Tamandua tetradactyla: one gene and its partner. The protein of the gene in region 2 interacts with the protein of the main gene of each other region in a pairwise test. Links are inferred from orthologs where the notes say so. Each region holds a gene or a part of one and is shown on either strand. Other genes may lie near its edges. The genes, in order: VAMP7 and AP3D1.

Region 1 (16,829 bases), on a different chromosome or scaffold from region 2:
GTCATTTGTCGACATGTACAGAGCTGTGAAAAATCTGAGTTGCCAGACATGCGCTTTCTCAGTTGAGCTCAAAGTGACACTCTGCCTTCTTGTTTTAGCTCTCATAGTATAAAAAATCCTTTTTCTGGTATATTTAGTACCATATCTTTTTCATATTTTTGTGCTTTTTGTTGATGATTTCACTACTTAAAATGCCTAAGCATACTGCTGAAGTACTGTCCCAAGCACAAGAAGGCTGTGAGGTGCCTTACTGAGAAAATACATGTGTTAGATAAGCTTCCTTCAGGCATGAGTTAGTTATAGTGCTACTGGCTGTGAGCTCAATATTAATAAGTCAACAATATACATATTAAATAAAATGTCTTTAAACAAAAACACACATAAAACAAGGTTAAGTATTGATCTATTGATAAAAATGTGACCAGAGGATTATAGGAACCTAATCCCATATTTCCCCTAGGAGCAATGGTTCAGTATTTGCTAATTCAGTATTTACTAATTCAGTATTTATAGCGACTTTATAAAACATACTACAATGAATGTTAAGAATCAGCTACATAAACATTAGACTGAAAGATAGACTGCATTTACAAATTATACACCACAAACTAATATTCGTTTTTTTGCCTTTTGAAAAGCAATGACCATATATAGCAAAGAGACATAAACATATCTTTACCCTTTAATTCAGTGATTCCATCCTGAAAATCTATCCTAAGGAATCAGTTCAATAGAAGTTAGACTTTAGATTCACAAATATACCAATTAACAATAATAACAGCCCATTTTTATTAAGTGCTTAACTATGTATAGGCACTATTTTAAGCACTTTATAATTATTAACTCATTTAATCCTTACACAAGTCAATGAAATTATATACTATCAGGATGCTCATATTACAGATGAGAACACTGAAGCTCAGACGATTTTAATAATTTGCCAAAAATTATAGAGCTAGGAAGAGAGAGAGCTGGGATTTAAACTCCAACAGTATAGGTTTTGGAATCCACGTTCTTCACCTATACTGTATGCTATCTCTAGCATAAAGGCATTATCCATAACAGAAACAAAGTGGAAACAACCCAAATATTCAACAAGAGGAACAGTTTTATAAATTATGGTAAGATCTTTCATAAACACAACCTTACTAAAACAATACAGCATGAGTTTAAGATTATTTTTCTCATGTTTAGATATGAGTAGTACTGTCTTTTTTCCTACAAAAAAAGCCCAGTTTCTATTTATCTAATGACATAAACTTGTAAAAAGAGATGAACAAATACCATACTACTATTCAACTAACTCATCAATTTAATGTTATTTGTTAACATGCTCAGTTTCACCCAACAGATCAGGGATTATATCCAACTTTAGTGTGATTATGAGTCATCTGGGATGGCACAGTGAGAGCCACATGTTAAAAATCCAAATTCTCAGCATTATACCATGAAATTCTGACTCAGCAGGCCTGAGGTGGGGCCCTGGAATCTGCATTTTAAAAAGCTTGTCTGGATTCAGGCAATGCACACAACCATACTTTGTGAACACTGAAGAAGATTAGGACGTGTTTGAGGTCAAGGAACCTGTTGATTCCTTCTTGGAATGCCAGCACCAAAGCACAGCACACAGAACAGAAGGGGCACTTCTGTTTCTAGAGCTGAACTCCTCTTGGAATTGCTTCTTCATTATATTATCTAATTGAGACTGTTCCCTTGAGTTTCCTTCCATATTCCCATTTCTCCTCATACATACATGACAATTTATAGATTTCAAATCACTTCCTCATACATTATCTTCCTTGATCCTAAAATCCTCCCTTGACCTTATAATACTCCAGGTACATTCTATTTCTTAAAGTCTTTGTGTGCACACATTATCTCTGCTTCTCCACCTTCTTTTAGCTCTTCAACTTTAATACATTCTGATGTTTGTCCTTAACACTCCACAAAACCATGCTTGCTAAGAGCACCAAGAAAATCTGTTGCAAAACACAGTGGTCACTTCTCTTATTCTCAACTTACTTGACCTCTAAGAATAATAAACATTGCTGATTAACCCTCCTTCTTGAAACACCCTCTTCCTACATCTCTGGCTGCTCCTTCTGTCTTCCTGATGACTCCTCTTCTTTCACCTTACCTCTAAATGTTGAATTTCCTTAGGTATTGATTCTGAACCCTCTTATCTCTTGATGAGCCCATCTAGACTTGATATTTTAAACACAATTTATTTGCTGAAGAGAGTACACACAGAATAAAAAGAGTAGTGCCAAAGAAAAAACCAAAGACACAACAACAGTTTAGGGGAAGGTAGACAAATAGGGGCCCACAAAGAAGATGAGGAGAAGCAACTGGAAAAGTCAGAGGAAAACCCAAAAGTATGTGGTGTCATGGAAGCCAAAGAGAAAGTAAGTTTCAGGAAGGACTGAGTGTCAGCTTCTAGTTGTGCTCACTGACACGGAATATGAAGGCAAAGGCTGTGAAACAGTCACTGAAACTTTATAATTAGGAAGGAGGCCATTCGTTAGGATCAGTAAGACAAAAAGTAGAGGAGAGTAAGTAGAATAAAAACACAAAGAGAAACAGATAAGAAATCATATGGTCCCCTAGACAGAGAAATGAAAAACTAGAAAACTTGGCTCTAATAATTACTAGAAGTATATGAATACCTAACTAACCATAAAGTATTATATAAATGTAAAGTAATACTCAGGAAGAGTGAAGAGACAAACCAGAGAGAGAGAAAAAGGAAAATAAAGACAACAGAATATAAAGGAAAGGCCTGTCTCAATATGGTTCCTCCTCTCTTCTTTTATTCTCTTCTTTTCTTTCCACAGTCATCATTCTAATTCTACTTCATTTCTGCTAAGAACCCCTATTTTAGAAACTTACTGTTCCTCCTTAATCAATCCTAATCTTACCTCTCCATATATTTACATCTCCAAAACTTCTCTTTCCTTTCCTCATATCTTGGGGGCTTGTCCTTAGGGCTCTGGGCCTGAAGAGCAACCACCACAACTTGGTGTTTGAGAAGTCTAATAAGTTCCAAGGAAAGGATATTTTTGTTCCAGTTGCTGAGATTCAAAAGAAGATATGTTATGGGGAAATCCAAGTTAGAATTCTGGATGCAATTTTTTTCTTATAATTGTGGTGACAGTCTTAAATTCACAAAATTAAGATTAAGCAAGATGCTACTGACATACAAATCTGTCATGAAGAGCATTATTTATAGAGAAAAATGCATCCAGAGTTTCAAACAATAATCTTATGAAGGAACTTCTGGAATATATTCATTTATAAGTAAGGAGTTTCCTGTATTTAAGAGACAGTAACAAAAAAGCACAGTAGTGATGCACACTTCTCCTCAGTGGAGGCATTCAAGCAAAAGTTGAAGACAGCATCAGAGAACAGAGTAAGGGAAAAGACCAAGCCAACATTTTTCACACTGGAGTCCATGTGTTCTGAGGAATTTTTCAATTATGTATTGTTATTTTGTTAGTATTAAAGATGTATAAGTATATTCTGGACCATCTATATACATATCTCATAAATGAGTAATGGCACACAAGTCAGTGCCGCCTATGCATTCATGTCTGTGAAGGTATAGGTGCCAAGAAACCCTTTAAAGTGATGGTGCTTAATTTTTAATGTCTTGGAAGCAAGTCTAGCTGCTCTTAGGTTGGCATCCTAAAACCATAATAACAATTACAATTCAAGCACTCATGCATTCCTACTATGTTTTTCAAAATCAGTTACAGACAAAATTTATTTTTTGCAGTACTGATTGACAATTGAAAAATAGCTGCGTGGAATAAGATTATTTTAAGAATTGAGACTTTTACCTGATACTCTGAAAATGACAGTGTGGTATAATCACATTAATATATAAATTATCTTAGGCTAAGGAGAAAATAATACTCAAAGAAATGCTTATACCAAGTGGAAATCAAATGATGCCATAATGTGCTTCACGAACAAAGGTTGTGCAACAGTTCAAATACAGAAATGAAGTGGAATAATTAATTTATAATACATGGTAATACATTCAACACAAAAATCAAAAGAAAGTATTCTGCATCATCATTTATATTATTGCAAACGGATTTATTATGTGAATTCTTGCAACAATTCATTAGCAGAATGTTTCATAGGAAATACACAATGGGAAGTTTTTTTTCATTCTTATATTATGGGGTATATAATTATATTAATTGGCCCATCAACGTAACGGGGGGTGGGGGGTGGAGTTGAGAAAGGGTACCCAGGAAAGAGAAGGAACTAATTTTAGGAGGAAGCTATGGAACAAGAGAAAGCACCGAGGTGAGAACAAGCTAGAAAAGGTGAAGAAACTGCTTGATGAGATAGAATGGTCCACATTCAGTGAATGTGAAGGTTAGTGGATAAGGCTGACAGAGGCTTTGTATAAATTAAGTAATTTGGATTTAATCAAATGGAGTCTATTTCAGTTCAACACATACGTACTGAAGATTTTACTCTATGGCAGCCAATGTAGAAGACACTGGAGATATACAGATAAGTAAGAAAAGACCCCTATACTCACAAGTTCCACAGTACAATGGGATGGGGAAGACAGATATAAATAAATGCAATAAATTGAAATAAGTGAATAATCTAAGAATGTACACAATGAAAGTTTTGTGATTATCTCACCTTGGATGAAGAAAAAGGAATGCAGATATCAGCCTATTCATTAGGCATTCCCTCAGTATATTATTATGATTACTTTTCCTTGGAAGAGAGGTTAAAATGTCTACTTTACCCTCACAATGTTCTCAGTGCTCAGTACAGTGCACAGTATAAATATTCTCTCAAATATATATTGAATAAATGAGTGAATACTGAGCCTGTGGTTAAATATACTTGTAAATGATAGATTTATAGTCACTAGGCCCTGGAAAGAAGAATATTTTGATTACCAAACTATCTCTCTAAAATAAAGAAGTTGAGCTGATAGTAATCAAACCCTAACTCTTCTTTCTGGGTCTTAGGAGGAAATAAACCAATGAGAAATAAACCACCAATTCTGAAATAACAACCTTGGAGGAGACAGAAGAATGAAAAACAAATATTGCTATAATATGATAGACAAAAGAAAAGAAAGGACATTTATGAAAAGTCTGAAGCCTGATCACAGATCAGGTACTGTGTGTATCACAAATATTCTTCTAGGGTGATGCTCTAAGACTCAAGCTAATCCCTCTGTTAGGACAGGATCCCACTCTGTAAAATAAACCGTCTGTTTTATTTTGCATTAACCACCATATCATCTTGTTTATTCCTTTTTGTACCCCCCCCACGCCCCTGTCCCCAAAATACGGAAGCTCTGGAGAGCACTGACCTCTTTTGTCTTATTTACAAATATATCCCTAGCACTTAGAAAACTCTGTGGTGTATATGCGCTGTTCAATAAACATTTATTAAACGAATGAATGAATCTGCTCCAAGCCAAATGTATTCAAATGAGAAAGAATGCCCCAAACATGACAGCATCTTCTGGGATTAAGGGTGGGAAAATGGAAGTACAGGTAGTTCAGAGCAATTAATAAGACGGAAAGAAAAGGTCTTGATAATTGTTTATAGGGGTTCTGAGAGAGGGATATGTAAACCACTTACCAAGGAGTCTAGAATATAGAATTTGATAAATATTGACCATTAAAAATAATAATAGTAATAATAACAAACACATCTGACGCTCAGGAAGCCGATTTGGGCAAGAGATACAGAGTTCGTATTTGAACTGAAGAGGAAGATGAATGTCAACATTTGGTGGTGGAGGAGGGGCGTGAAGAGGGTTAGAACCCACTACTGAGCAGTAGACTTCCGAAGTAGAAGGTGAAGCAGAAGAGTGACGTCACCGAAGCAAGGGCATAGAGGCGATTTTAAAAGACTCAGGTGATTAAGAGATTCAAATGCTAAGGTGATGTCCTGGGAATGCTAACTGACAAAGTCAACATTTTCCTTCCTGTTAACAACAAATGAAGTGACACATTATGGCTTTCTTTAACCTGAGGATTTATCACAGGCATAAAACGCACTTCATCCAAACTGGATCTGCCCGACAATTCGAAATGTGGACCTCAGAGAATTCCGAGTCACCCTCCCATTGCCTCCTCACTCTACTTCGGTACCTTCCTGGCCACCCCCGCCTTCCCCTCTGCTGTCTAGTCCCCCACTTTGTTACTGAGCGCACCCTTTACGTACCTGTCCAGCGCCCTCTGCAAGAGCGCGGGTTCTGGACGTGGGGTAGCCAACTTTGAGCTCCCGAGGGAGGCTAGACCCCAATGCCGCCGACTTCCGTGTGAAGCGCCCCGCCCGCGCGCAGCCTCCTGGGAATGTGAGCTCTCTTCCAATGGGAGTCGTCAGCGGGGCAGGGCCTGCTGCTTTCCCTGCCCCTGCATTTCCCAAGAACCGGACTGCATTCTGGGAGTGTTAGTTCCGTCTTCCGTCTCTCTGAGTCTGTCAGGCGTTCGGTCAACAGTTCTGTCGTAACTGCTTACCAAGCGCCGAGCCAAGAGGGGAAAATGAGCGGCTGCAGGAGGACAGAAGGAGTCTATCAAATGGCGTTGGCGCGATAAATGAGAGGCTGGCTCGCCCCGCCGGAGCCTCGTTTACTTTCAGCGGAGAATGTCGCCTACTTCACAGACAGAAGAGCATTTATCTAACAAGAACTCCCTCTACTTTCGCCACTGTTTCCCAACCTCCTTGTATCCTTCACCTCTCCTTTCTCCCATTCTTTTGCAACAACAATAATCTACTCTTGATTTAAACACACCGCCCCTTACATCCGTATTTCCTCCTTCCAACTCATTTAATCCCTGTCTCCCGACTCTTAAACGGCTGCCTGCTTACACGCTCTTTATGATCAGCATTTAAAGATTGCCAGCATTTCTCTTATCTAAAAAAATTCCAGTCACCTTTCTCAAACCAACTTCCCCTAATGCCCTCACCACACAGACTTAAGCTAGTGGTCTTTCTCCCACCTCTCCTTCCCAGCCAAAATTCTCAATAGTGTTGCTAAAACCAATAGGCATTTTCAGCCATTATGTTACATCATCTCTGCAGGATTTTTACACTGTGGATTATTGCCTCCCTTTAAAAAGAAAATGTTTTTGGTTTTGCTTTTGCTTTAAAAAAAACGGTTTTTAGTGTGAAATATAACATATATACATTTAAAAAGGAATAAATTTCAGAGAACACCACAACAATTAGTTGTAGAACAGATTTCAGAATTTGGTATGGTTACCGTTCCACATTTTCAGCTTTTTCCTTCTAGCAGCTCCAAAACACTGGAAGCTAAAAGAAATATCATTATAGTGATTCAGCAGTCATATTCGTTTGTTAAATTCTATCTTCTCTGCTATAACTCCTTCTCCTTTGATTGTTCTCACAATCTTTAGGGATATTAGGGCTTTGCCCATTCTAACTTTTTCAGGTTGAAAGGCTGTCTTGACAATATGGGATAGGGAAATGGAATTATGTGATGTAAAAGCTGACCCCTCTGCATCTCGAGACTTAACTGGCCTAGGAACTCATCTGGAGGTTGTAAGTTTCTGGAAAGTAAACCCAGTGCATGGATCATTTGTAGAATCTCAGATAGAGCCCTAGATGTTCTTTAAGTTTGGCAGGAATCATGTTAGTCGGAATTTTGCAAATCCTGGTAATTAGCAATATCTAACTGAAACTTGCATAAGAGTAGTCTCCAGAATACCTCTCAACTCCATTTGAACTCTTTTAGGCACTGATACCTTATTTTGCTACATTTCTTTTCCCACTTTTAGACCAGAAGGCATTGTCGATCCCTCCATACCAGGGCCAGGCTCAACCCTGGAAGTCATGCCACATGTTTTCAGGGAGACTTTCACCCCTGAATGTCATGTCTCCTATGGGGTGAAGGTAATAATTTTCCTTGAAGAGTTGGGCAGAGAGAGAGAGAGAGAGAGAGAGAGAGAGAGGTGCCACATTTGAGCAACCAAAGAGATTTCCTGGAAGTAACTATTAGGCATAATTATGGGTAGGCTTAGCTTCTTCACTATAGAAATAAGTTTTATAAAGACAAGTCTCAAAATCAAGGGCTTGGCCTATACTGGGGGGGGGACTGCCTAATGTTCTAGAGAGTAGCAGGGGGTTCCCAGGTGGGAAAATTTAATATTTCCATATTTTTTTGTCCAGTCTCTCAAGGGACTCGACCAATACTTTTCAATTATCAACCTACCATTCTCTGGGATGTCTCCAGGTGTTACATTAAGCTATACAGAATTACAAGGCCTTGTTCCCATTCTGGGCTCCATGTGTTTGGATTGTCTAAATGAACCATCCAGACAGGTTGATTAGATTGTGTGTAACAGAAAATTTAAGTGCTAGACCCAATAAACATTTCTGCCTTTGGTCTCACACAATAGGTGAAGCTCTAGAGTACAAACACTATCATCGTTTACCCTGCATTCTGATTTACCTTAGTCCCAACAAGATCAGCTTCATTCTCATCTTTAATGGATGCCTGATCTCTTTTTTGGTTTCTTTAACTGTTGTTAAACAGTTGTATGTAGCCATGCTGAATTTCAGAGCTGCAGAACTACAGCTCTGAATCTTAAGTGTCACAGAAGTACTCAAAGTTCCAGGAAAATACCAATTTATACACATATGTCTCAGGATCAAAGAATCTACATATACACTTCAATTTTGTATTGAGTATGACTTCATGTTCTGCTTTTCTCTTCAACACACCCTGTATTCAAGCCTCTTCCTGTATAGTGTCATGCATTCATTTATTCATTCATCCATTCCTTCAGCAAATATGTGCTAAGTGCCTACTATGAGCAAGGTCCTGTTCTCGATGCTGGAGGTATGACAGTGAACAATACGAAAATGCCCCTGCCTTCATGGAGTTAACACTCAATACTACATACTTTTTAAAATACATTTTATTTTAGAATAATTTCAGATTTACAGAAAAATTGCAAAGATAGTGCATCAGTCAGGGTTCTCTAGGGAAACAACCAACAGGAGATATCTGTTAACATTATAAAATTTTATAAAAGTGTCTCACTCAATTGTGAGGATGCATGAGTCCAAATTCTGCAGGGCAGGCTGCAAGCTGGCAATTCTAATGAATGTTTTTGTTGAATTCCCCAGTAGAGGCTGGTTGACTGAAGTAGAGATAAAAATTCTCCCTTCTGACTGCTGAAGTCATCACTTCTCCTTTTAAAAGCCTTCAAATGTTTGGATTAAATGTCTGTCATTGCTGAAGACACTGCCTTTAGTTGATTGTACGTGTATTCAGCCATAAATGCCATCAACTTACTGATTTAAGTTCATAAAATATACTTGCAGTAACAGGTCAGTGCTTGCTTGACCAGACTACTGAGAGCCATTACCTGGCCAAGTTGACAAATGCACTGACCATCACAGTCCACCCCATGTCAACTTGGCAGCTATACCCATCATATTAAACCACACTTATCTCTAAATAAAAAACAATAGACACAACAATACTCAACTGTCCTGTGTACAACTGGAAATGCACTAAATAATTTCACATACTTTTATGCCTCACTGCCTTTGAACATGCTACCTACCCTGTCAAAATATTATTCTTCCCAATCTATTCCAAATATTGCTTCTTCATTTTCCAGAACAGCTTATGCTTCTTTTTCATCTCCATTCATCCTTTGCAAAGGTTTACCTTTATATTAACATTAATTCAATTTTATTTGATACCATTTCTTTGAGAAGCAACAGAATATTTTTGAAAGAGAATAACTTTTGAAAGTAGACAGACCTGAGTTACTAGCTGTGTGGATGGTAAATGATGACTCCATTAAGAGCTTTCAAGGCTCTATCAAATGCCCTCTTCTTACTCCATACTTTTTCTTAAAATGATCTCATCCATGCTACAAAATTTATGGTTCTAGTACAAGCCTTTATGTTGGAAAACCACAGAAGGCCTCTCTGAGCAGGTGACGTTAAAACTGAATTCTCAATTACAAGAAGCCAAGAGGGAATAGAATCCCAAGCAGAGAGAGCTGGGACAAAGATTGTAAAGTGGAAAGAAGCTTGATATATTTGAGGAACAGAAAGAAGATCAGTGTCACTGGAGAAGAGTGGAAGTGAGGAGATAGGGGCAGAGGGATAGTTAGGGAGTCTTGCAGGGATTTGTGAAACAGGAGGAGTTTGGATTTTGTTCTAAGTGTAATGGGAAATTATTAGGTTCGAGTAGGGAAGTGATATGATCTGATGTATGTTTTAAAAAAATTATCTGGCTTTATTTAGTATGGTAATACACCATCTATCCTGCTAATAAATTAATATGTACAGTTAGCAAAAGTGAATATTTTCCAAGAAAAGTGCTTCTGGATGCATACTTCTATACATCCTCAACCTAGCAGAGAGTGAATGCTCAAGAAGAGTTCATTGAAATAATGCTAACTAATAACAGCTAACACAAAACTTGATACCAAACAACATTCTATTATATATTTTAAGATTATATATATGCATATACATATGTGTATATGTATATATATATATATATATATATATATATATATATCTTACACATACAGTTATTTAGTCATCGCAATAACGGTATGAAGTAATTATTATTATCATACCTGTTTTTCAGATACGGAAGCCAAAGTGTTAAGTCGCAAGGCTATTGTAGCACGGGATTTGCATCCCCTGGTTTTGGCTTCTTAGCCCTAGCTCCTCTTGCATCACTGTTCGGAAGCTCCTTAGAGGAAATTCATGGAGGAGTGGATAATCATTAGTGGTTGACTAAATGAAACTGCCCCAGATGGATACATAAGTACATGTTTGCTTCTGCACGCCTCCTCTGTTTCCATTCCTGCATTCTCGGCTGTGTCCACTTGGAACGGGACTTTGATGAAGAAGATGCCAGGCTGGGGAAGGGAGTGGGGGCAGAAGCGCATATTTCTTAGCAAAATGGTTTGAAGACAATGAACAAACGCTAGTGAGGGGCGTAATATTTAGGAGTACACAGTCCAGGTACCTCGGTAGAAATACCCCAGGGGGGCTGCAGAGCTTGCAGCCAGCGGGGAACAGAGAACAGGAGACAGCCACAAAGGGGAAGGTCCAGTCTCGCGTCACTCATCTGTGCGGCTGAAGCTGAAGGCGTCTCAAGTGGAAGCCACCCAGGAGGGGTGCGCTGGAAAGATTAGGCACAGCACCTACCTTCTAGTTTTCTTTCTCCCAGCCGAAAGTGGGCGCTCTTTTCTATATTGAATGCGGCGCTTTAATGTGGCCTTAGTTGGGGAAAGCGGCAGAAAGCAGGACCAATTCTGCAACCTTCTTCCAGCGACAAAGGGATTTAACAACTATCTAGGCCATCTTTTGTTTGGTTTTCATTGCTCCCCAAGAAGAGAGTGAATGGAGTTTCATCCACTCCTTCCTCGCCCTGCTCAGGATTCACACGGGACTGCAGCTAAAATAACATGAAAACTGGACCGCTGATGGAGTCCGTCCCCATAATCGAATATATCCAGGCCCAAGGGGCTTGCTCTGAATCACACTGGTGTTAGAGGGAGAGGAACTAGGACTAAAATCCTCGCAGCTGCCTCTCGGACCATTGCTCTCCCTAACACAAGGGCTTACTTCCATTATATCCCTCAATTTCAAGTCTGTGACCACGATTCCCTATAAGGCAAAGAAAAAAGCTTGAAGTAGCTCACATGAAAAGGTAACAGTTCTGATGCTATATTTTGAAGTATTGGAAGCTGTGACTATGTGTTTAATACAAATGAAATCGAGGAATGTATTTACTTTAGTTTGTTTATCCCAATCCATTCTGGAAAATAGTGAGAGTATTTTGGGAACTATATAAACAAGTCGTGAGATTTCAGTCACACACATACTGTGGTTCACAGAATCACTGAAATATATCCTCTTGCTCAACTCTACAGTTGTATTATTGACAGCTAACACTTTACTATAGCTTAACACAGCTGTGTATATCATTAACTTTGCTGAGAGATTAAACACTTTTGTAAGAACACAGATTTCTAAGTGTAAAGGAAAGTCATTTACAATTTTAAGGGGACTGAAGTAGCATATGGTTTAATGGCTTTCCTTTAGCAAGCATCTATGGAGGTTGCTGAAGGCCAGGAACTGGGAGACTAAGAAGAGTACAGCCATGTGTTCACACTGCGTGTGTGTGTGCGCGTGTGTGTGTGTGTGTGAAGTAGACAAATATGTAAGGCACGGTGATAATTTATGTAAGAGCTACTTTATGAATAAAATAGGCAGAGGAAGGAAAGGAACAACATTAACGTTTTATATAGTCAACATTTATTTACTGAGTTTCTTCTATGTCCAAGGTACCAATACAACAGTACACAGAACAAAGTTCCTGCCCTTGTAGAGATTGCAGTTCTTGAGTTTTCACTATGTGTCAGGCATGCTTTCTTACATTCTGTTTTGTTGCTTAATATACATGGTCTCAGTTAATAGTCCATCAACCCTGGGAGATAAAAAGTATCATCTTGAAGTCCATTTCTTGAAATTTCAGCCACAAATATATATTTTTAAACAATTCATAGACAGCTCCATAATGAAGATATATAAAAAAGGGCACAGTGAACATGGTAGGGGCAGCAGATGGGATTTAGATTCAAAGAGACTAACTGCCTTGTTGAATATTAAAGCAAAGCAGAAATTCAAACTCAAGCATGATCTTGGTTCCAAAATGCCTTCTATACACTGCAGCTTTTTCTGGGGTCAAACCCAAGCTGACTTCACAATCAAACTATCTTAAAGGATGACTGGGACAGAGATGTAATGGGAGAAAAGGTTATTGCTTATATTATAAATCCCACAGAAAGTACTTCCTTTTTTCAGCTATTAAGGTAACATGATTCAGTTGTCCAGGTTTATCAAGAAATTATTCATTCAATTTTTATTCACTCAATTATTCACTATTTCAGCCTACACAATTAGAAAGGCTAACATTCTAGAAATAACTTTTTTAGAAGCTATCACTACAACTTAAATTTTGACTATCTGCAATTAAACAAAGCAGTTAAGTTCAACAATTTTTTTAAGTTTCTTTTAGCAATGTTATGTAGTTTTCTGTGTACAAGTCCTGTACATCCCTAGTTTAAGTTCATTCCTAACTACTTGATTCTTTTAGTTGCTATTTTGAATGGAATTTTTTCCTTAACTGACGCCTCAGCTAGGTCACTGCTTCTGTATAGAAACGTTATGAGTTTTGCACGTTAATTTTATATCCCACCACTTTGCTGAATTTGTTTATTAGCTCAAATAACTTTGCTGTTGATTTCTCAGGATCTTCCAAGTATAGTATCATATCATCTGCAAATAATGAGAGTTTTACTTCTTCCTTTCCAATTTGGATGCCTTTTATTTCTTTGTCCTGCCTGATTGCTCTAGCTAGAACTTCTAGCACAATGTTGAATAATAGTGGTGACAGTGGGCATCCTTATCTTGTTCCTGATCTTAGGGGAAATCTTTCAGTCTATCTCCATTGAGTATGATGCTTGCTATTGGTTTTTACATATATTCCCTTTATCATATTGAGGTAGTTACCTTTGATTCCTATCTTTTGGAGTGTTTTTATCAGAAAAGGATGTTGAATTTTGTCGAGTGCTTTTTCAGCATCAATTCAGATGATCATGTGATCTTTCCCTTTTGATTTTTTAATGTGCTTTATTACATTAATTGATTTTTTTGTGTGTTGAACCATCCTTGCATTCCTGGTATAAACCCCACTTGGTTTGTAGTGTATAATTTTTTTAATGTGTTGTTGGATTCGATTTGCTAGTATTTTGTTGAGAATTTTTGCATCTATGTTCATTAGGGAGATTGACCTGTAGTTTTCCTTTCTTATAGCATCTTTACCTGGTTTTGATGATATTAGCTATATAAAATGAGTTAGGTAGGTTCCTTTTTCTACAATTTTCTGGCAAGGTTTGAGCAGAATTGGTGTTAGTTCTTTCTGGAATGTTTGAAAAGTTCTCCTGTGAAACCATCCGGCCCTGGGCTTTTCTTTGTAGGCAGATTTTTGATGACTGATTGAATCTCTTTACTTGTGATTGGTTTGTTGATATCTATTTCTTCCTGAGTCAGTGTAGCTTGTTTGTGTGTTTCCAGGAATACGTCCATTTCATCTAAGTTGTCTAGTTTGTTGGCATATAGTTGTTCCTAGTATCCTCTTATGATTTCTTTTATATCTTCAGGGTCTGTGGTAACACACCCCTTCTCATTTCTGATCTTTTTTATTTGCATCCTCTTTTTTTCTTTGTCAGTCTTGCTAGTGGCCCATCAATTTTATTGATTTTCTCAAAGAACCAACTTTTGATTTTATTGATTGTCTCTATTGTTCTTTTGTTCTCCCATTCATTTATCTCTGCTTTAATCTTTGTTATTTATCTTCTTTTAGTCACTTTAGGGTTAGTTTGTGGTTCTTTCTCAAGTTCCTCCAAGTGTGCTGATAAGTCCTCATTTTGTGCTCTTTCTTGTTTTTTAATATATGCATTTAGGGCAATAAATTTCCCTCTCAGCACAGCCTTTGCCACATCCCATAAGTTCTGATAAGTTGTATTCTCATTTTCATTCATATCCAGATAGCTACTGATTTCTCTAGCTATTTCTTCTTTGACCCACTGGTTGTTTAAGAGTGTGTTATTTAATCTCCATATGTTTGTGAATGTTCTCGTTCTTTGGTGGTTATTGAGATCCAGCTTCATCACACTGTTATCAGAGAAAGTGCTTTGAATAGTTTCAATGTTTTTAAATGTATAAAGACATGATTTGTGCCCCAGCATATGTTCTATCCTGGAGATTGTTCCATGAGCACTAGAGAAGAATGTATATGCTTGTGTGTTGGGGTGCAATGACCTATATATGTCTGTTAGGTCTAATTCATTTATCAAGTTATTTAGCTTCTCTATTTTCTGATTGATCTTCTGTCTGATTGCTCTATATAAAGAGAAAAGTGGTGTATTGAAATCTCCTACTATTATTATTGAATCATCTATTACTCCCTTCAGTTTTGCCAATGTCTGTTTCATGTACTTTAGAGCTCCTTGATTGGGAGCATAAACATCTATGATTGTTATATCTTCTTGGTGAATTGACCCTTTAATTAATGTATAGTGTCCTTGTTTGTCTCTTATGATGTCTTTACATTTAAAGTCTATTTTGTCTGATATTAGTATAGTTACTCCTGCTTTCTTTTGATTACAACTTGCAGGAAAAATCTTTTTCCATCTTTTCACTTTCAATCTATTTGAATCCATGTGTCTAAAATGACTCTATTGTAGGGTGCATGGGTAGTTCAGTGGTAGGATGCATTCTATTCTGTGGTACTTGATACTGAGGAGTAACACTGGTTCTTTCACTTTCTCTTGGTTGACAGGTGCAAGCATTTGAAACAGATAGAAATTGCATCACATTTTTGTTGCACCAAAAGAACCATACCTTAGAAAACTCTCTTTATTATATGATCATGAAGAAGTTAAGTATATATGCTGATGCACCAAAGGGTTAGTGGTTTATTCCTAGAACCACTGGAATAAACATTGGTTTCTAAATTCCAATATATGGATGGACTACGTTAGAATCACCTTGGTAGTTCTTGCCTACCAAGTCAGACTTCCGAGGGTGGGACATAGGGATCTGTACTTATAGCTAGGGAGCCAGGTGATTCTGATAAGCATTCAGGCTTGGGAAGAAAACTGGAAAAGTAGAAACTATCAGAATCTATTTATTTTATCCCACGATCTTAAAATAGTCTCAGATTTAATAGTAAACTGGAGTCAGGTTTTTCAAGTGGCATTTTTAGTGCCATTTGTCCTTTCATAATGAGAACTTTCTATGTGTGACTTAAATTTTTTTTTTTTGTTAGAGAAGTTAGGTTTACAGAAAAATCATGCATAAAATACAGGGTTCAGATATACACCCTATTCTTAACACCTTGCATTGGTGGGGTACATTATTTACAATTCATGAAAGAAGATTTTTATAATTATACTATTAACTATAGTTGCAATAGGGTTCACTGTGTTGTACAGTGCTTTTTTAAAATTTTTATTCTAATAACATAAATATGACCTAAAATTTCCCCTTGAAACCACATTCACACATATAATTCAGTGCTGTTAATTATTTTCACAAATTTGTGCTACCATCTGCATCATCTATTACCGAAACTTTGCAATCAACCCAAATAGAAGTGCTGTACAATTTAAGCATTAACTCCACATTCCCTACCCCCAACCCAGCCTTTGGTAGCATATATTCTAGATGCTGACTGTATGAATTTGCTTATTCTAATCATTTCATATCAGTGAGCATACTGGTTTGAAACTAATGTGTACCCCAGAAAAGCCATGTTCTTTAATTCTCATTCAATATTGCTGGGTGGGAGATTTTTGATTAAGTTGTTTCCATGGAGATGTGACCCACCCAATTGTGTATGGGACCTTTAAATTAGGTGGAGTTCTAGTTTGATAGCTGCCAGAATGCAATATACCAGAAATGGAATGGCTTTTTAAAAGGGGAATTTAATAAGTTGCTGGTTTACAGTTCTAATGCCAAGAAAATGTCTGAATTAAAGCAAGTCTATAGAAATGTTGAATCAAAGACATCTAGAGAAAGATACCTTGGTTCAAGAAGGCTGATGATATTCAGGGTTTCTCTCTCAAGTGAGAAGGCACATGAAGAACATAGTCAGGACTTCTCTCTCAGCTGGAAGGGCATATGGCGAACATGGTGTCATCTGCTAGCTTTCTCTCCTGGCTTCCTGTTTCATGAAGCTCCCCAGGAGGCATTTTCTT
Region 2 (16,875 bases):
TAATTTAGAACAAACGGTACACACATCCTTATATATATTAACTCCTTAGGATTATAATAAAATAGGCCATCTCAATCCTGGCTGCTCATTGGAATTTTGTAGAGCATTAAAAAAAAATTCAGATTCCCAGGCTCCTCCCCCAGAAATCAAGTTAGTCTGCAGGGGTGTTGATGCCCAGGCAACTGCCTTTTCACAAAGCTCTGCAGTTTACTCTGAAGAGCTGTCAACTTCTAAAGCTGCTGAACTCAACCCCAGATACGCTTGTCCTGTCATGAGTACTTTCACTCTAGACAGAGGTACTTTCACCCCAGATGTGCCTGTCCTGTCGTGACCCAAAGATGCCCCTGAAACCTGCACACATGGATGAACGGAAAGCATCCAAGCCATGAGCCTCCCGGCTAAGGAACCAGAAGTCTACACCCCAGCCAAAGGCCTGAGATCACAAAAGCCCAGCGTCCACATAGCATCTTAATGAAAAGTCTAAATCAGTGATTCTAACTCATCTAAATCTCTCAGCTCAGAAAAACATCAAATCTGTTCTTATAATTTCTTTTTGAAAAGAACTAAAAGTTAGAAAGAAAGAGAAGAATCCAATGCCAGACATTGCTGAGAATAAGTCAGCAGCAGTGACAGGTTCAAATTGAAGTATAAATCATATCCCTGTAACTCTATCCCTGCTCTCATGCAAGCTTCAGTTACATAGTGCTAATTGCCATGGTCTGCTAAATGCCAATCAACATCCTTCTTTTTTTTTTTTCATGGGCAGGCACCGGAATCGAACCCGGGTCCTCTGGCTTCACAGGCAAGCATTCCTGCCTGCTGAGCCACCGTGGCCCACCCTCCCACTATCCAATTTATTTTACCCCTTCTTCTCCCTAACATTTATTTATTTTTATCCACATTTTTTTTTTTTTACTCATCTGTCCATACCTTGGATAAAAGAAGCATCACATACTGACTGAGCATTTAGAACGGAATGATCACATGTTAATGTTTTACTTCGTATGTTGTTAAGTTTTTTTTAATTAATAAATAAATTTTTTTAAAAAAGAAGCATCACAAGGTTTTCACAATCACACTGTAGAAGTTTTGTCTTTACACAATCATTTTCAAGAATCAAAACTACTGGACCGCAGCTCAAGTTTCAGGTACTTCCTTCCAGCCACTCCAATACACCCTAAACTAAGAAGGAATATCTGTATAACGCATAAGAATATCCTCCTGTCTCTGAAATCTCTCAGCCACTAAAACTTTATTTTGTCTCATTTCTCTCCTCCCCCTTCTGGTCAAGAGGGTTTTCTCAATCTCATGATGCCAGGGCTTGGCTCATACCGGGAGTTCTGCCCTATGTTACCAGAGAGATCTGACCCCTGGGAATTATGTCCCACGTAACTCCTGTTGACTCTTAACAACACCTGGGGCTCGAACTGAGCCTCTATAAAGATTTGCCTTCCTGGAATATATAATTTTCAGAGGATTTCCAGGTTATATAAATCCTGCAACTCAGAGGGACCAGTCTTTCCTGGTTTATCAATTAATAATATCCCTCTATCCTTTAGATATGAAAAAGTCAGAAGAGGCATTGCACAGAGATCCCTATACATTGGGGGAATTAAAGGAGGAGGAAGAAGTATACAGGGAAAATGGGATTTAACAAACAAGTATGGCTGCTGAATCACTGTATTAGTATTTCTTCTAGCCTCTAGTATTTTAGAGCAGCTAGAAGGAAAAACCTGAGATGATGGAATGGTAGCCCATGACAAACTATGGAATCTGTTCTGTAACTACTTGTTGAAGGGTACTTTAAAATTATTGCTTTTTTTTCTTTATTTTGTATATATGTTATATTTTACAATAAAATGTTTAAAAAAAAAAGGCTACTGGAGTACAGTTCAACAGTTTCAGGTGTTTCCTTCTAGCTATTCTAATACACTAAAACCTCAAAAGGGATATCCATATAACGCATGAGAATAATCCAGAATAACCTCTCGACTTTGTTCTGAAATCTCCCGTGGGGGCAGAGTGGTCTCACAGAATGAGACCAAGGCAACAAGCCCCTGCTTTCTTTCGGAGTGCTAAGGCTCACTCCACTTCTCTCCCAGGGGTACCAAACCAGTTCCTCTGGCTTCACAAAAAACACGCGGCTGCTAGTTACTCTAAGCAAAGCTTAGCGGTTGAAAAAAACTTCAGACTTGACCACACTATGCTCAAAAACTTTTTAACACCTGGCCACAGAACAGCTGGAGGACTGCTTGCATTCAGGAGAACTCTGCTGCCCAGAGCAGGCATTTATTTGTGCAGTGCCTGCACCCACACTGTACCGACCAGAGGCTCGAGGTGCAGCCTGGTCACCACAAATATAGTCTTTTCCAACACCCAAAATACCCTCTTCCGGAGAAGGAAATGGAACTGCAATGAGATTAATTTCCCAAAGCACAAGTCCAGAAGCCAGCAAAGTAAAGGAGTTTTTTTGCGGTGGGGGGATGGGCAATGGAGGATTCCTGGGCATTGGAGGGTATTAAGCAGCATCCCTGTCCCCACCCCACTCAATGCCAGCAGCACCCCATTCCAAACTGTGACAAACAAAATGTCCCCAGACACTGGGGGTGGACAGAGTATTCCTGGGGGGGAAGGAGGGAGGCAAAACTGCCCCCCATGCTGTTCCTAAGCCGGGACTCATGGTGAAGGCTGCCTCACCAGGCAGGGGTAGAGGGTTTCTAAGGCTCATCTGAGGGGAGGGGCAGCCCAAACAAGGTATCTGGAACAGCACAGGAGAAAAGCTCCCATGATAAGCGTAAGCACGGGAGGGCTTGTGAGCAGCAGCAGAGGGCATTACAGGGGAGGCCACTAGAGAGACTTGGAGATGCCTGGCAGGTGGGACCGCTGAGGCGATGGATGTGCCCTGCAGGTGTAGCATCCCAAGCAGCAAAAAGACACACAGGGGCCCCAACTGAGGGCTGGTGTGCTGCAAGGGGACCAGCAGCAGGCCAGGAGTCAGAGGCAGAGCAAGGATGCTGGCAGTATGGGAAGAAGCAGCAACAATGCTGGGAGGGTATGCATGTGGGGGCAGGAAGGTGGGTGGGCGGGCAGACAGATGGGGGGCGGGAGAGACAACAAAGGCCTTCCTGGGCAGCATTTCCCGTGGCTGCTGCAATAATTCACTATCAGCTGGGTGGCTGTAGTCCACCCAGATCTATTCTTGCATGATCCTGGATACCCTACGTGCAAGGTCACCACTGCTGGTAAAACTGAGGTGCCGTAGGGCAGGTTCCTTCTGAAAGCTCCAGGGCATACCGTTTCCGGGCTGTTTCAGCTCCTAGAAGCACTTGTCTTCCTTGGTGCATGGCTGTATCACTCTGACCTCTACCTCTATTGTCACAGCTACTCTGACCCCCACCGGCCCCCTGCCTTTAAGGACCCTGTGATGACAGTGGGTCCACGTGTGTAGTCCAGGTTCATCTCCCCTCTCACTTGCTTCACTCCTCCTGCAAAAGCCTTTCACCACAGAGGGTGGGGGTGGGGGGTACATCCACGGACTCTGGGGATGGGGTGTCTTGGGGTCATGATCCAGTGACCTGTCAATCACTCTCAGGGTCACTCAAGTCACACATGAAGTGAACAAGAGCTAGCGTGAGACAGCTATGGCCTCCCTGGCTACGGCAGAATGACCAGGAGATGGCATGGACATCCAGACAGGAGACAGAGGAGGAGCCCAGGTACCAGAAGGGAGGAAGCACTTTTTGCCTGGCCCTTAAGAAGGGCAGCACCCCACCAAGGGCCAAGTGGGAGGCCACAGCCAAGGGGAGGCTCGCGTGCTGGCCTGGGCAAATAAATTGAGCAGGAGGACAAGGGAGTCAGTAGGGGCAGAGCAAGGGTCCCAGAGGCTGGGGGGAACAGGTGAGGAGGGTGAGCAGGATCCAACAGAGGAGGCAGGAGTTGTGAGGGAAGAGCAAGGCCCACATCCACCTGACAGCCACACAATCCACAAATGCAGAATAGGGATCACACCTGGGTCAGAAAGTCGAGGTTAACACAAGGTTCTGTCATTATAAGGATACCCCCAGTCTATCGGGGACCAGGGCCAGCGAAAAAAAGTAAGTCCAAGTTCAGTCCAGGGCCTCCCAGTTAAGCCACCAACCCCCAGGTGGGGTTTAGATGTGCAGGATTTTGTCGGGAACAACCCTGGTAAGAGGAAACCGGGTGGAGGGTGGCACAGAGGCACAGCAGTAGGGGGGAACTTGGAGGTGAGTGGAGGGGGAAGTGAGAGTGATGGAAGCATCCTATGAGTTGCCCCCACCTCCAAGGAACAGCCTGCCTCAGTATCTCCATGCACTCAGTGACTGGCTGGCAACAGGGAGATGGGTTCTAGAGCCCAGTGGCTTCCAGAGTTGGGGATCTAGAAGATGCCCCCACAGAGAGGTACCAAGAGACACTCAAAGGGCAGCCTCACCAGGCCTAGGGAGGTAGGAAATAGCTTCCAGGAGACAAAGACTTGTCAGGAAAAAGCAAAGGCAAGAGGGAGGAGGGCCAACCCAAAGAGCAAAGAGCACCTGACCCGAGCAAGAGGCCCAAATTCAGAACGCGCATTTTCTCCAGCCTAGCGATTCTACTTCTAAGAGCCAAGTCAATCCAAACACCAACAGGAACGAGCAAAGACACACAGCCAAGGACGTTATGGAAGCACTGCTTTTCACAGCAAAAACATGGAATTGACTCTAATGCCCACCAAAGCGGAAAGGCGCGACAAACTCTGGTGTGTCCATGCCAGGGAGCTTTGGAAGGAAAAAAGGGAGAGCGTCACGTGCTGGCACTGAAAGCTGCCTGTAACAACGATGGCCCTGGAAGGGCAAGGCACACACGTAACCTTAACACGCAGAGTCAACTGCAACCGCTACGCGTGGAAAAGAATCTCAAAGTACATACACACCATTAGAAATAGCTTACTCAGGAGGAATATAGCATGGGGAGGCATTTAGGAGGGAAGACATTTTTAGCTTTTACTAAATAGCAACAAACTTAAGACAGTTATGAGTGCATTTTATAATTAAAAAAAATTAGAAGTGGTTAAAATGCTTTCTATGTTTTGTATATTTTACAACTAAAAATAAAGTTTTAAAAGACAGGATAGTGGTTCAGTGGTAGAATGCTTGCCTTCCATGTGGGAGAGCCAGGTTTGATTCCAGGACCATGCACCCATAAGTAAAAAAAAGAAGTAAATAAGAGACAGAATAGAATCTATTTGCATTTTGATGCCATATCAATTAAAAATATAAAATAAGGCAAAATCTGGAAATGAACAAAAAAATAAAGATTAAGAAAAGTTTTCACCAAAATATGAAAAGTGCCCACGCAAATAAAACATTAAGTCATTGCTTTCTTTCCAGCCATTTTCCAAGTGGATTCCCATTGTCCTGCCAACATTAACCTTTGTCATAAGGAACGAAACAAATTTGAGCACCAAAAGAACATAACAAGTAAGCCACTATTTTTTTTAAAGCTTTTTTGGTTTGCACCAAGAAATCTATTTTCCATCATCACTCAATACATATGTGAGAGTACACATACATACCCCAAAACAAAATTTCAAGAAACAGTTACTCTAAATACATTAAATCTGGGATTTTCTAGTTTCTTTCTTTCTTTTTTTTTTTTTAAACACAATCCATTAAATCAAATTTACAACCCACTAAGGGGTCATAGCCTGAGGTTTGAAACTTAAACTAGACAATTCCTTACAGTGCTTTAGCTTTTACAACAACTTGCATTGTGTCCCTTCATTCTCCCCTCCGCAACTTGAGGAGGGGAAGGCAGCAGTAACCCCGCTTGGCAGATAAGGAAACAGCATAAAATAGATCAGAGGATGGGGCTATCCAAGGTCAGCCAAGGAATAAGCCTGAGGACTTGAACTCATATCTCCCAAACTTCAGATAATTCATTTTCCAATACACTGGCTTTCAAAGTGGCTTCTGAAGTCATTGCTAACCCTAATTTCTATGATGCGGCAGAAACTTAAAACTAAAATCTATTATAAAACAAATTTGGGAAAAATTACACTGCCACAGAAAAAAACCATGCTAATAGCATTAGCTAGGGGACAGGCTGGGTGGGAGGGAAGAACCTGAGCCAGCCGCGGTTGTAACTACTTTCAAAGAGTGGGGGAATTGAGAAGGTAAGTGGACAGTCATTTGCTGGTCTCCAACCACCCACAAAGGCCACAAGCAGCCCCAGACGAACATGTGGAATCAGAGGTGAGCATCTGAAAAGCACCCCCACCCTCACACTTCTGTTGAGGAGACCAGAGCATCCGAATGTCCTGTTGGAACTCGCCCACCCATCCAGAACAGGGTCACAGGGAGACCTGTAACTTCTTAAGACCGCCAGGGTCCGTCTGGCCCTGCCCTATTTCACGAATGCTTCTACCATACCATCAAGACCCATTTTAATCTGCTCCAAGCCTGGGAGAAGGTAGTCAATTATTCACACCAGTTCTCAGTGAAGAACCGGAGGCTGGGGCTATTTTCCGGGGAGGTTGGGTCCACCTCCCTAAAACACTGGGCCACCCATCCACCTTGTCTCAAGTGCAGGGGCCACAGCTACAGAATCCCAGAACATTCACTATATAAAATGGAAAAAAAATCTGGGGATCCTACTGCAACATAAATTTAGTTAGCCACCACCAGTGAATAGAATCCAGAAAGACCAGTTATTTTCACCTGGATAGGAAACTTGAAAGGACTGTACAAGTGAGCTATAAAAGTTGCTAAGTAGGGAAAAAAAAAAAGTGGCTAAGGAAAGCTTCTAATAAGCAAAACCAAAGTGGAGCTAAAGAGAAGGGAGAAATAAACAAAAATAATCCAACTGCATTTCAGGTCACACCAATTCTGAAAAAGGGTAGCAAAATGCAAGAGCCCAGGGAACAGGGACTCAGCTGGGGGCACCTAGGGGTCTCACAGCAAATTTCTTAACTTCTCTGCAAAAAAATCTTTACTGGGGTCAAGGGCAGGTAAGTGTACCATCTGGCTTCTGCTTTCCTGTGGATAGCGCGTTTCTCTCTGGGCTGGAGGTGGCCTTTTTAAGGCTTCCACTGTGTAAGTGGCTTCCTCCAATGAGGCCCTCGGAGGTTCCTGGCCACTAACTGTCCCAATTCTTCCTTAATCTAGGTCACAGGCTGGGGGTAGGGAGGGAAGGAAACGATGCCCGCAGCTAAAATTTTACTTCTGGAAAATGCTTTCCTCCCACGGGCTCCGGTTTCTGCCAGAAGTCCGCTTCCCTATTCCAGGAGCCCCTGCTTCCCTCCTTGAGATGAGGAGCTTGCTGCCTTGCCCGCACACAGCCCCCGCCCCACGCCCCCCAACCCCCCCCCCTCAGAAACCCCATCCCTCTGGAAGCACAGGCCTAGAGAGCAAGGCCCTGAGACCCCGCCCGGTTCTGGATCATGCCCCACGAAGTGTGAGCTGAACACCGGCATTTGCCCGCTAAGGGGTCTCTCCAGGGCCGGCCCGCAGACCCCCTGCCTCGATCTCCCCGGGGGCGCTGCCAACGACAAGGGTTCCCCCAACGAGGAATCCAGAGACCTGGGGAGTGGCTCCGGACGCTGAACACTTTAACAGGTGATTCGGGAACGCACTCGGGTCGGAGAACCGTGGGCGAGGACCTGCGAGGTGTTCCAGGAACGCCCGCGGCAGTCGTGGCCACCCGGGGTGGGGGACGCGGGCCCGGATCGCCCAGCGGGAAACTAAGGCAGCGGAGGGAGGCCGCCCAGCCGCGGGGCGCGGGACGCTGCACCTTTAACAGCGACACCACCCCTCCCCTCAAGATGATCCGACACACGCGAGGAAGCGACAACCGCTTGTTAGCGACCCTGGGCCTCCCCAGGGGAGGGGCGGGTCTCAGGGTGGGGAAACTAAGGCTTGAGGAGGGCGGGGGCCACAGCGCCGAAGGCCACGCGGCAGAAGCGCCTTGAAGATGGCTTGGGAGGTCCATGAGGGGCTCCGGGAGGCCCCGGGGGGTGCAAGCCCGGGGTCGGGCAGGGCCGGGGCCAGCGGGGGGCGGCGGGCTCACCTCGTCCTCCTTGTGGTTGCGGATGCCGCGGACAAGGTCTTGCAAGTTCTTGTCGAACATGCGGTCGATGCTGCCCTTGACCATCTTGAGGGCCATCGCGGAAGCCGACGGGGAACGCGCCGGCCTCGAGCCCCGGGAGGCCCGGAGACGGGCGCGGGGCCGGGGCCCGGGGGTCGCGCCTGCCGCCCGCGGAGGGCTGAGCTGCCGGCCGCCGCGGCGGGGCTGACTCCCAGGCCAGGTCGGCGGCTGGGTCCTTTGAGGAGGAGGAGGAAGCGGCGGTGGCGGCGACCCGCTTCGTAGGGGCCGCGCTCCCAGTCAGGGCCGATTGCAAATGGTGGACAAGATGGCGGCAGGTCAGCTGACGGCGGGCACCCGGGTCCCCACCGCCCCGCCCTCCGGAAGCCCCGCCTCCTTGAAGGCTTCACCCCTCCGCCTCCGGGGCAGCGTTTCCCTGACGACGCCAGGTTGCCCAATAGGAACGCCGACACCGCCCTCTCAGAACGCCCTGCCGTCTCAGGACTTTTCCCCCTCATTGGTCAGTGGCCTCCAGGACTCCGCCTACTTCCGCCTTCCAGGTTCTAGACACACCCCCTCCAGGTGCCCGGCTGTGCCACGCCTCTCCACGACTGACGTCCGAAGGCGGGGCGCCCACGTGGAGCCTTCAGGCCAGCTCCTGGGGACCTATCCAGCGGCCCCTCTCCCTTCCTTCTGGATCTGAAAGCTGATGCTGCCCGAGGTCTTGCAAACCCGACAACGTCGGGGTCGAACCCTGCTTCTTCTCTCAGGCAGCCGGGCACCGTCCTGCGATGTGGGCAGCACAGGGATTTCCAAAAAACGGAACAGAGGACTTTTCCCGAATATGGTTAAGCGAAAAACCCAAGACAAAACGAAGTCTAAAAAATCCCAAAGGAAAGGAAAACCCAGTTAAAAACACAGCTAATGAAAGAAACGTCCAAAATGGCTTCAGGAAAAAAGACATCCAAATGGCCAATAAGCATATTTTTTAAAGTGTCCTATATCGTTAGTCATCAGTTAACAAAAATTAAACCCAGAACGAGCCACCTCTACATCCTCACTAAATTAAAAAGACTAAAATTTGAAAGATCGCAATATCAAGTGTTGAAAAAATGCCATATAAAATGGCACAACTATTTTGGAAAACAAGTAGTTTCTACTAAAGCTGACATAAATGTGCTTTATGATGCAGCAGTTTCACTATTGGGTGTATTGCCAACAGGAACACGTGAGTCTATCCAACGATGTGAACAAGAGTGTTCACAGCAGCTTTATTCGTGTTAGCCAAAAATCCAGGACAAATGTTTATCAACTTAAAATAGATAAATAGTATGATATAGTCGTATCATGGAATATTACACAAATTACTGATACATAAAGGAAATGAATGAATTACACAGGCATGAAGTTGAGCAAATTAAGCCAGACACAAAAGAGTGCACCCTATATAATTCTATCCATGTGAAGTTCAAGAACAGGCAAAATGAATCTGTAGTAACCGAGTGAAGTAACTTGTCCTAGGTCACACAACTATATCTGGGAGAGCTGAAATTGTGTTTAAATAAAAAATCTGATAATGTCCATGCAATGGATTTCTGCCTTTTTGAAGGAATGTGTTAGGTAATTGCTCTGGGAATTGGTCTCCCAGCCTTAACTAGAAAACGTGACAAAATATGTGAGACAGTGGTTTTCACACATTACACAGGAAGCAGTGCAGCACTGGGATTCCTGAGAGAAAGGAAATGAACAAGGTTAGCCCTGCACAGCCCCAGCTTTCTGCCTGGAGACAATTTCCAGGCTAGTGTTCTCCCAAATTGAGGCCCTGGATAGGCCTCTCCAGATACTGGAGAGAAGGGAATTACACAGGGAAAGAGCTCTTAATCAATGAGCAGGACAGGTAAGGGGTACGATATGTATGAGTTTTTTCTTTTTTCTTTTCATTTCTTTTTTTGGAGTGATGCAGATGTTCTAAGAAATGATCATGGTGATGATTATACAACTATGGATGATATTGTGAGTCATTAATTATATGCCAAGAATGGAGTGTTAGTACGTTAAGAATATTCGTGTTTGTAGGTTGTTATGTTTTGTCAATAAAAATATGAAAATAAAAAAACAAAAAAAGAAAGGATGCTGAATTTTACAACTGCCTTTTCTGTGCTGATCGTGATGACCAGGTGGTTTTTCTCTTTCAATTTGTTAAGAAAAAAAAATTACAATAATTGATTTTCTTGTGTTGAAGCACCCTTGCATACTTGCAATAAAACTCCCTTGACCGAGGTGTGAAAAAAAAAAAAAGCTCTTAAGTTTTCACAGGGCTTCCCTTGAGCTTGTGGCTGAATGTTAAACCACACGTTTATACAGTGAAACTCCAGGAGACAACCGCTGGGGAAAGGACAATTTCCAGATTTAATACAGCTCTGGGAATGTTCGAAGTATCAGCAGCACAGGTCATTTGGTAAAGACTTCAGAACACCTTAAGTGGTAACTTATTTAGAGATAAGCTAGTCCTAGAGTAAAGTCTATTCCAAACTTGCCATACAAATAATAACATAAAATAAAAATAAACAACTTTTAACTTTAAAGGCATGGAAATAAATATCTAAAACAAAGTACACAGGGAACAAAATGAAAGAACCTTATTGTCCTATAGGGCAATATCAGGTAATCTAACATACATATAATTGGCGTTCTAGAAAGAGAGGAAGGAGGAAAAATATATAAAGTGAGTAGCAAAAAAAAATTTTTTTCCAAAATATCATGACAATCATAAATCCACCAACCAAGAGTAAAAACAAAGAAAAGCCCACCAGGCACATCATAATTAAAATGATGGAAACCAAAGATAAATAAAAAAAATTAAAGAATCAAGAGAAAAAGGATACCTTAAGTACATAGAAACAAATATAAGAATGACTGAGATTTTTATCAGAAACTATTCAAGCCAGTAGACAATGAAATAAAAATAGAATTTTACCCCCCGCAACAATATCCTTTAAAAGTGGAGAAAATATGTGTTTTTAGACAAATATAAGTTGAGAAAATGTGATGCCAGTAGACTTAATATTAAAAGAAATGTTAAAAGATGTTCTTTGAAAAGGAGGAAAGTAATACCAAACAAAAATCTGGATCTATGCAAAGAAATGAAGGGAAGAAGAAATATTTAAAATGTGATAAATATCATTTTTAAATTTCCTTAAATGATAATAGACTCTTTAAAGCAACAGTAATGAGTTGTGGAGTTTATAACATGTTTGAAGTAAAACAATACCATGAAGATTGAGAGGTGAAAATGAAAGTATACTTTTGTAAGGGTCTTACATTATGCGTGAAGTAGTATGATATTATTTGAGGGATACAGTGATAACTTAAAACGCATATTGTGCTCCTAGAAAACCCACTTAAAAATAAACTAAAAGATCGTTTCCCAGTGCCTGCCCATGCAAAAAATAAATGAATAAATAAAATTAAAAATTAAAAAAAGACTAAAGGAATAGCTATAATGGGATGATTATGGATATAAAATTGAATAATGAAAAACTCAATCTAAAAGAAAGAAAGTAAAGAAAAAAGTACAAAGAACAGAAGGGACATATAGCAAATATGTAGGGTTTAAACCCAACCCTACTGACAGTTCCATTGAATATAAATGGTCTAAATATTCTAATGAAGGGGCAGCAATTGTCAGAATAGGTTAAAAATAATTCCCTACAGAGTGTTGTCCACTTTAAATATAAAGACACAAATAGTTTAAAAGTGAAAGGATGCAAGCAAAACAATTAAAGGAGAAAAAAAAAAGAACAAGGTTAGAAGACTTAAACTGCCTGATTTCAAGACTTACTATCAAGCTAAGGTAGTTAGAACAGAAGAGAGTCAAGAAATAGACCCACACTTGTGTTTCCTCAATTAATTTACCACAAAAGTGTCAAATAATTGAAAAGGGAAAGAAAAGTCTTTTCAACAAACGGTGCAAGGACAACTGGAAATCCAGATGGAAAAAAAAGTGGTCTGACACTATTGCACATCATATAAAATTAACTCAGAATGGATCATAGACCTATTGTAAAAGCTAAAACTATAAGACTTCTAAAAGAAAAGGGAAGAGAAAAATCTTTTGATACTTGAGGTTAGAGGATTTTTTTTTTTGGATAGGACATAAAAAAGGACAAAGCATTTTTAAAAATGAGAAGATAAACTTTATCAAAATAGTAAATTTGCTCTTAAAATAAAGGTTACAAAAATGAAAATGGCAAGCCACAGTCTGAGAAAAAAATATTTACAATACATATCTGACGAAAGCCTCAAATGAGACTGTACAAATAAAATCCTTCCAACTCAATAATCAGAAAATAAACCCAGAATTTTTAATGGGCAATATATTTGAACTGACACTTTAGCAAAGTGAAATGAATGGCAAAAAAAAAAAAATCCAAACCATAATGAAACTATAAAATCACCCAACAAAGAATGAATGACCAATAAGCACATGAAAAGGGACTTAACGTAATTAGTCACTAAGGAAATGCTCCCCAAGGGGCTATCCCAACATGCCTAATAATAGAATGGCTAAAATTTGAAAGTGTGAAAACAGCTGGGGAAAATGCAGAGAGGTACAACCACTTTGGAAAACAGCTCTGCAGTTCTGTTAGCAAAGGTAAACATACATTTACTACAGGACCCAGCAATCTCATCCTAAGGGGAATAAAAACATATTTCCCAACAAAGACTTATACACAAATGTTCACAGAAAAAAATAGATTAGAGAAAAGATTAGATAGATTATGGATAGATAGAATGATATAAAACTGTGGCAAAACATTGAAAGTTGGCAAATCTGGGTATCTAGATGGGGGGGTATTTTGGAGTTCTCTACTGTTTTTGTATTATTTTTGTAATTTTCCTGTAAGTTTGAAATTGTTTCCAAACAAAAAGCTGGTAAAAAATGAAAAGAAAAAAAAAAGGTCTAAAAGTCTTAAGCTTCCGATTTAAGAAGCTAGAAAAAGAGAAGCAAATTAAACCCAAAGTAGAAAAGAGGAATGGGCAATATATTTGAACTGACACTTTAGCAAAGTGAAATGAATGGCAAAAAAAAAAAAAATCCAAACCATAATGAAACTATAAAATCACCCAACAAAGAATGAATGACCAATAAGCACATGAAAAGGGACTTAACGTAATTAGTCACTAAGGAGAGTACACTAAGAAGAGTAATCAGTGAAATATAAAATGGAAAACAATAGAGAAAAGGATGTCTCCCCTCACCACTCCTATTCAAAAGCATACTGGAGAAGGAAAAAAAAATTATGCGGGAAGTCACAGCTAATACGATAAGACAGGAAAAGGATATAAAAATTATACAGGCTAGGAAGGAAAGAATAAAACTGGTTTTGTTTTGAAGATCCTTATCCATGTAGAAAATCCAGCAAGAACTAATTAAAAAAAAAAAAAAAAAAACAACCTGGTTCTAATAATCGATTATAACAAGTTTGCAAGATATCAGATTAATACATAAAAGTCAGTTGCCTTCCTCTGTACCGGCAATGAGCAATGAGAATTTGAACTTAAAAACACAACACTCAGTGGGGACAACCAAAGCAATAGGCAGAGCCCTCAATCTGGGGGGTTGTTCATATGAAGCTTATCCCCACAAAGGATAGGCTAACCCTACTTAAAATTAGGCCTAAGAGTCACCCCCAGAGAACCTCTTTTGTTGCTCAGATGTGGCCTCTCTCTCTCTCAGCCAACACGGCAAGCAAATTCACTGCCCTCCCTCTGTCTACCTGGGACGTGACTCCCAGGGGTGTGGAACTTCCTGGCCACGTGGGACAGAAATCCTAGAATGAGCTGGAACTCAGCATCAAGGGACTGAGAAAACCTTCTTGACCAAAAGGGGGAATAGAGAAATGAGACAAAATCAAGTGTCAGTGGCTGAGAGATTCCCAACAGAGTCAAGAGATTATCCTGGAGGTAATTCTTACACGTTATATAGATATCACCTTTTTAGTTGAGGTGTAACAGAGAGGCTGGAAGGAACTGCCTGAAAATGTAGAGCTGTGTTCCAGTAGCCTTGTTTCTTGTAGATAATTGTATAATGATATAGCTTTCGCAGTGTGAATGTGTGATTGTGAAAACCTTGTGTCTTATGCTCCTTTTATCTATGGTACAGACAGACGAGTAAAACATATGGATTAAAAATAAATAAATAATAGGGGGAACAAATTTTAAAATAAATTTAGTAGATTGAAATGCTAGTGATCAATGAAAGGGAGGGGTAAGGGGTATGGTGTGTATGATTTTTTTTTCCTGTTTTCTGAATTGATGCAAATGTTCTAAGAAATCATCGTGATGACGAATATACAACTCTGTGATGATACTGTGAGTTACTGATTATATATCAAGAATGGAATGATCATATGGGAAGAATGTTTGTGTTTCTATGTTGTTATGTTGAATAATAATAAAGAAAAAACACAACACTGTTTACATTCGCACCAAAAGAAAAAGAAAAAGAAACAAGTTTGGTATATATCTAACAAAATATAAGCAAGGTCTATATGAAGAAAACAAAAAACCCTGACGAAAGAAATTTTAAAAAGGTCTAAATAAATGGAGAGATATTCCATGTTCATGACTAGGAAGGCCAAATATTATTAAGATGCCAATTCTTTCCAACTTGGTATACAGGTTCAAAGCAATGTCAATCAAAATCCCAGCAAGTTATTTTATGGTTTTCGAACAAGTGATTGTAAAGTTTATATGGAAAGGTAGCAGACCCCAAAAGCCGACGTAACAGTGGGACCTTGCTCTAGAAAATGCCAAAGTATCCACAGAGACAGGAAGCGACGAGTGATTGCTTGGGGACAGAGGGCAGGAAGAGGCAGTTCATTAGTGGCTCTATAAATACTATTGCCATACTGAAGGTGAACATGATTGAAAGGGGTTGTATAGAGCCATGTATCCCACCGATTAACACTATAAATATAAATAAGCTTTGGCAGTGAAAGGGGAGCAGTGGAGTGAACCAGTTGTGCTGTGAGACAGGCACAGCCAGAGCTAGGCTAGCAAAAAGCAAGCCAAATAAAGAGTAAGATTGCAACTATGGGGCGGGCCACGGTGGCTCAGCAGGTAGAGTTCTCTCCTGCCATGCCAGAGACCCGGGTTGAGTCCTGGTGCCTGCCCATGTAAAAAAAAAAAGTAAGATTTGCAACTATGAGGAAATTCAGAAGAGGCTCGTGTCAGGGAGTCAGAGGAAAGCACCAGGGAAGGAGCAACTATTCTCATGAAGAACCGCCAACCGGCCTGTGGGAACCGGAACTTACATGGATCAGGCATGTAGAGCTGCTGAGGAATTTGTCAATATTTACCGTGAAACAATGGGCAAAAGGCAATGGGCACTAACCACACTGTATCTCGACAAGGCCACTTTAACATGGAATGGGAATGTTGCTACTGGGCTGGAAGCCCTGGCTAATTTTTTTGAAATGTGGCCTTCTAGTGAGTTCCAGGTCAATATGTTAGCTTGCCAGCCAGTTCATGAGCAAGCTACCCAGTCGTCCCAGACCACAGTTCTCGTTGTGACCAGTGGAACTGGGAAGTTTGATGGAAACAAACAACACTACATCAACCAGAACTTCCTGCTAACTGCTCAGTCCTCTCCTAACAAGACCCTATGGGAGATTGCAAGTGATTGCTTCCATTTTCAGGATTGGGCTAGTAGTTAAAGGGGGCAAAAGTCCATTCTCCTTTGGTCCATTAGTGCTTGCAAGAAAAGTGTATGTGAATTAATACATTTCATTATAGAAGCACTGTAAACTAGTATTGCTGAAACGAAATTTCTTTAACGTTTTTTGATTTCTAGCAGCACCTTTTCTTGCAGCTGCCAGTTTGGATTGTTGCCATTAAGAGCTGCAATGCTAGTTTTTTACATGCCATACATATATTCCACTACAGATGTTGTTTTAGTAATATTGAACATATGATCTCTGTACTAGCATAATCACTGCGAACCCAGCCTACGCAAAACTGAAATCCTCTTGTAATACCATTTATGGGCTATCAGCACAATATAACTCTCCAATAAGTAGTGGGGTTTTTTGGTTATTAGGATAATTTTGCGTAAAACAAACGCCTACTTTCAGTAAACACTGGTAATATGGTTTTATACACTTTTTTTTTTTTTTTTTTTTGGCGTGGGCAGGTACCAGGAATCGAACCCAGGTCTGCCGCATGGCAGGCAAGAACTCTGCCTGCTGAGCCACTGTGGCCTACCCTGGTGATATGGTTTTAATATATGGCTTTTTCCTATCAGTTCAATGAAAATACTACTAATTTGGGTTTGCATAACTACTCTGATATGTTGGAATTACACATAGACATGTTCATTGGTCAACTTTTTTTTATTCTTCATGTTGTTTCTGTTGGCATGTTTTCTTGTAAACTGAGTTAATTGACCAGAGAGGTACATAATGACCTCAATTGATGACCTAAGTATTGGATACATTTAGTGGCTTGAAATGAAGCTCCTTAGAAAGATTTTTCTTGGCATCTCCAGCTCTGTAAATTTAGGTAGTAAATGGTTGTAAAATTGATAGCTTTACTGAGAGGATAGGGAATAAGTAATGTAGAGATCTGGAGTTGGAGTGAAAACTAAGGGGGAGGGCTAGCCAAATGCTAAATATGGGGTGTTTTATTTTCTACCTCCTACAGCTGTAGGCTATTTTAGGATTTCAATCACTAAGGTAATAAATGTACTTGCCAAATGGTCATAAGTGTCATTTTTGTTCTAAGAACGACCCTTTT

What was found.
Region 1: the proteins of AP3D1 (region 2) and VAMP7 interact in a two-hybrid assay, tested with the Homo sapiens proteins (2 studies listed by BioGRID and IntAct). The link is inferred for Tamandua tetradactyla from reciprocal best matches to the Homo sapiens genes AP3D1 and VAMP7.

What each region holds. Positions count from the first base shown.
Region 1 is NC_135353.1:64,670-81,498, forward strand, and holds the start of VAMP7 (vesicle-associated membrane protein 7), read right to left. Parts: upstream 6,358-16,829; 5' UTR 6,220-6,357; intron 1-6,219. UniProt on the Homo sapiens protein: Involved in the targeting and/or fusion of transport vesicles to their target membrane during transport of proteins from the early endosome to the lysosome. Required for heterotypic fusion of late endosomes with lysosomes and homotypic lysosomal fusion.
Region 2 is NC_135337.1:80,793,163-80,810,037, reverse strand, and holds the start of AP3D1 (AP-3 complex subunit delta-1), read right to left. Parts: upstream 8,231-16,875; 5' UTR 8,158-8,230; coding exon 8,062-8,157; intron 1-8,061. UniProt on the Homo sapiens protein: Part of the AP-3 complex, an adaptor-related complex which is not clathrin-associated. The complex is associated with the Golgi region as well as more peripheral structures.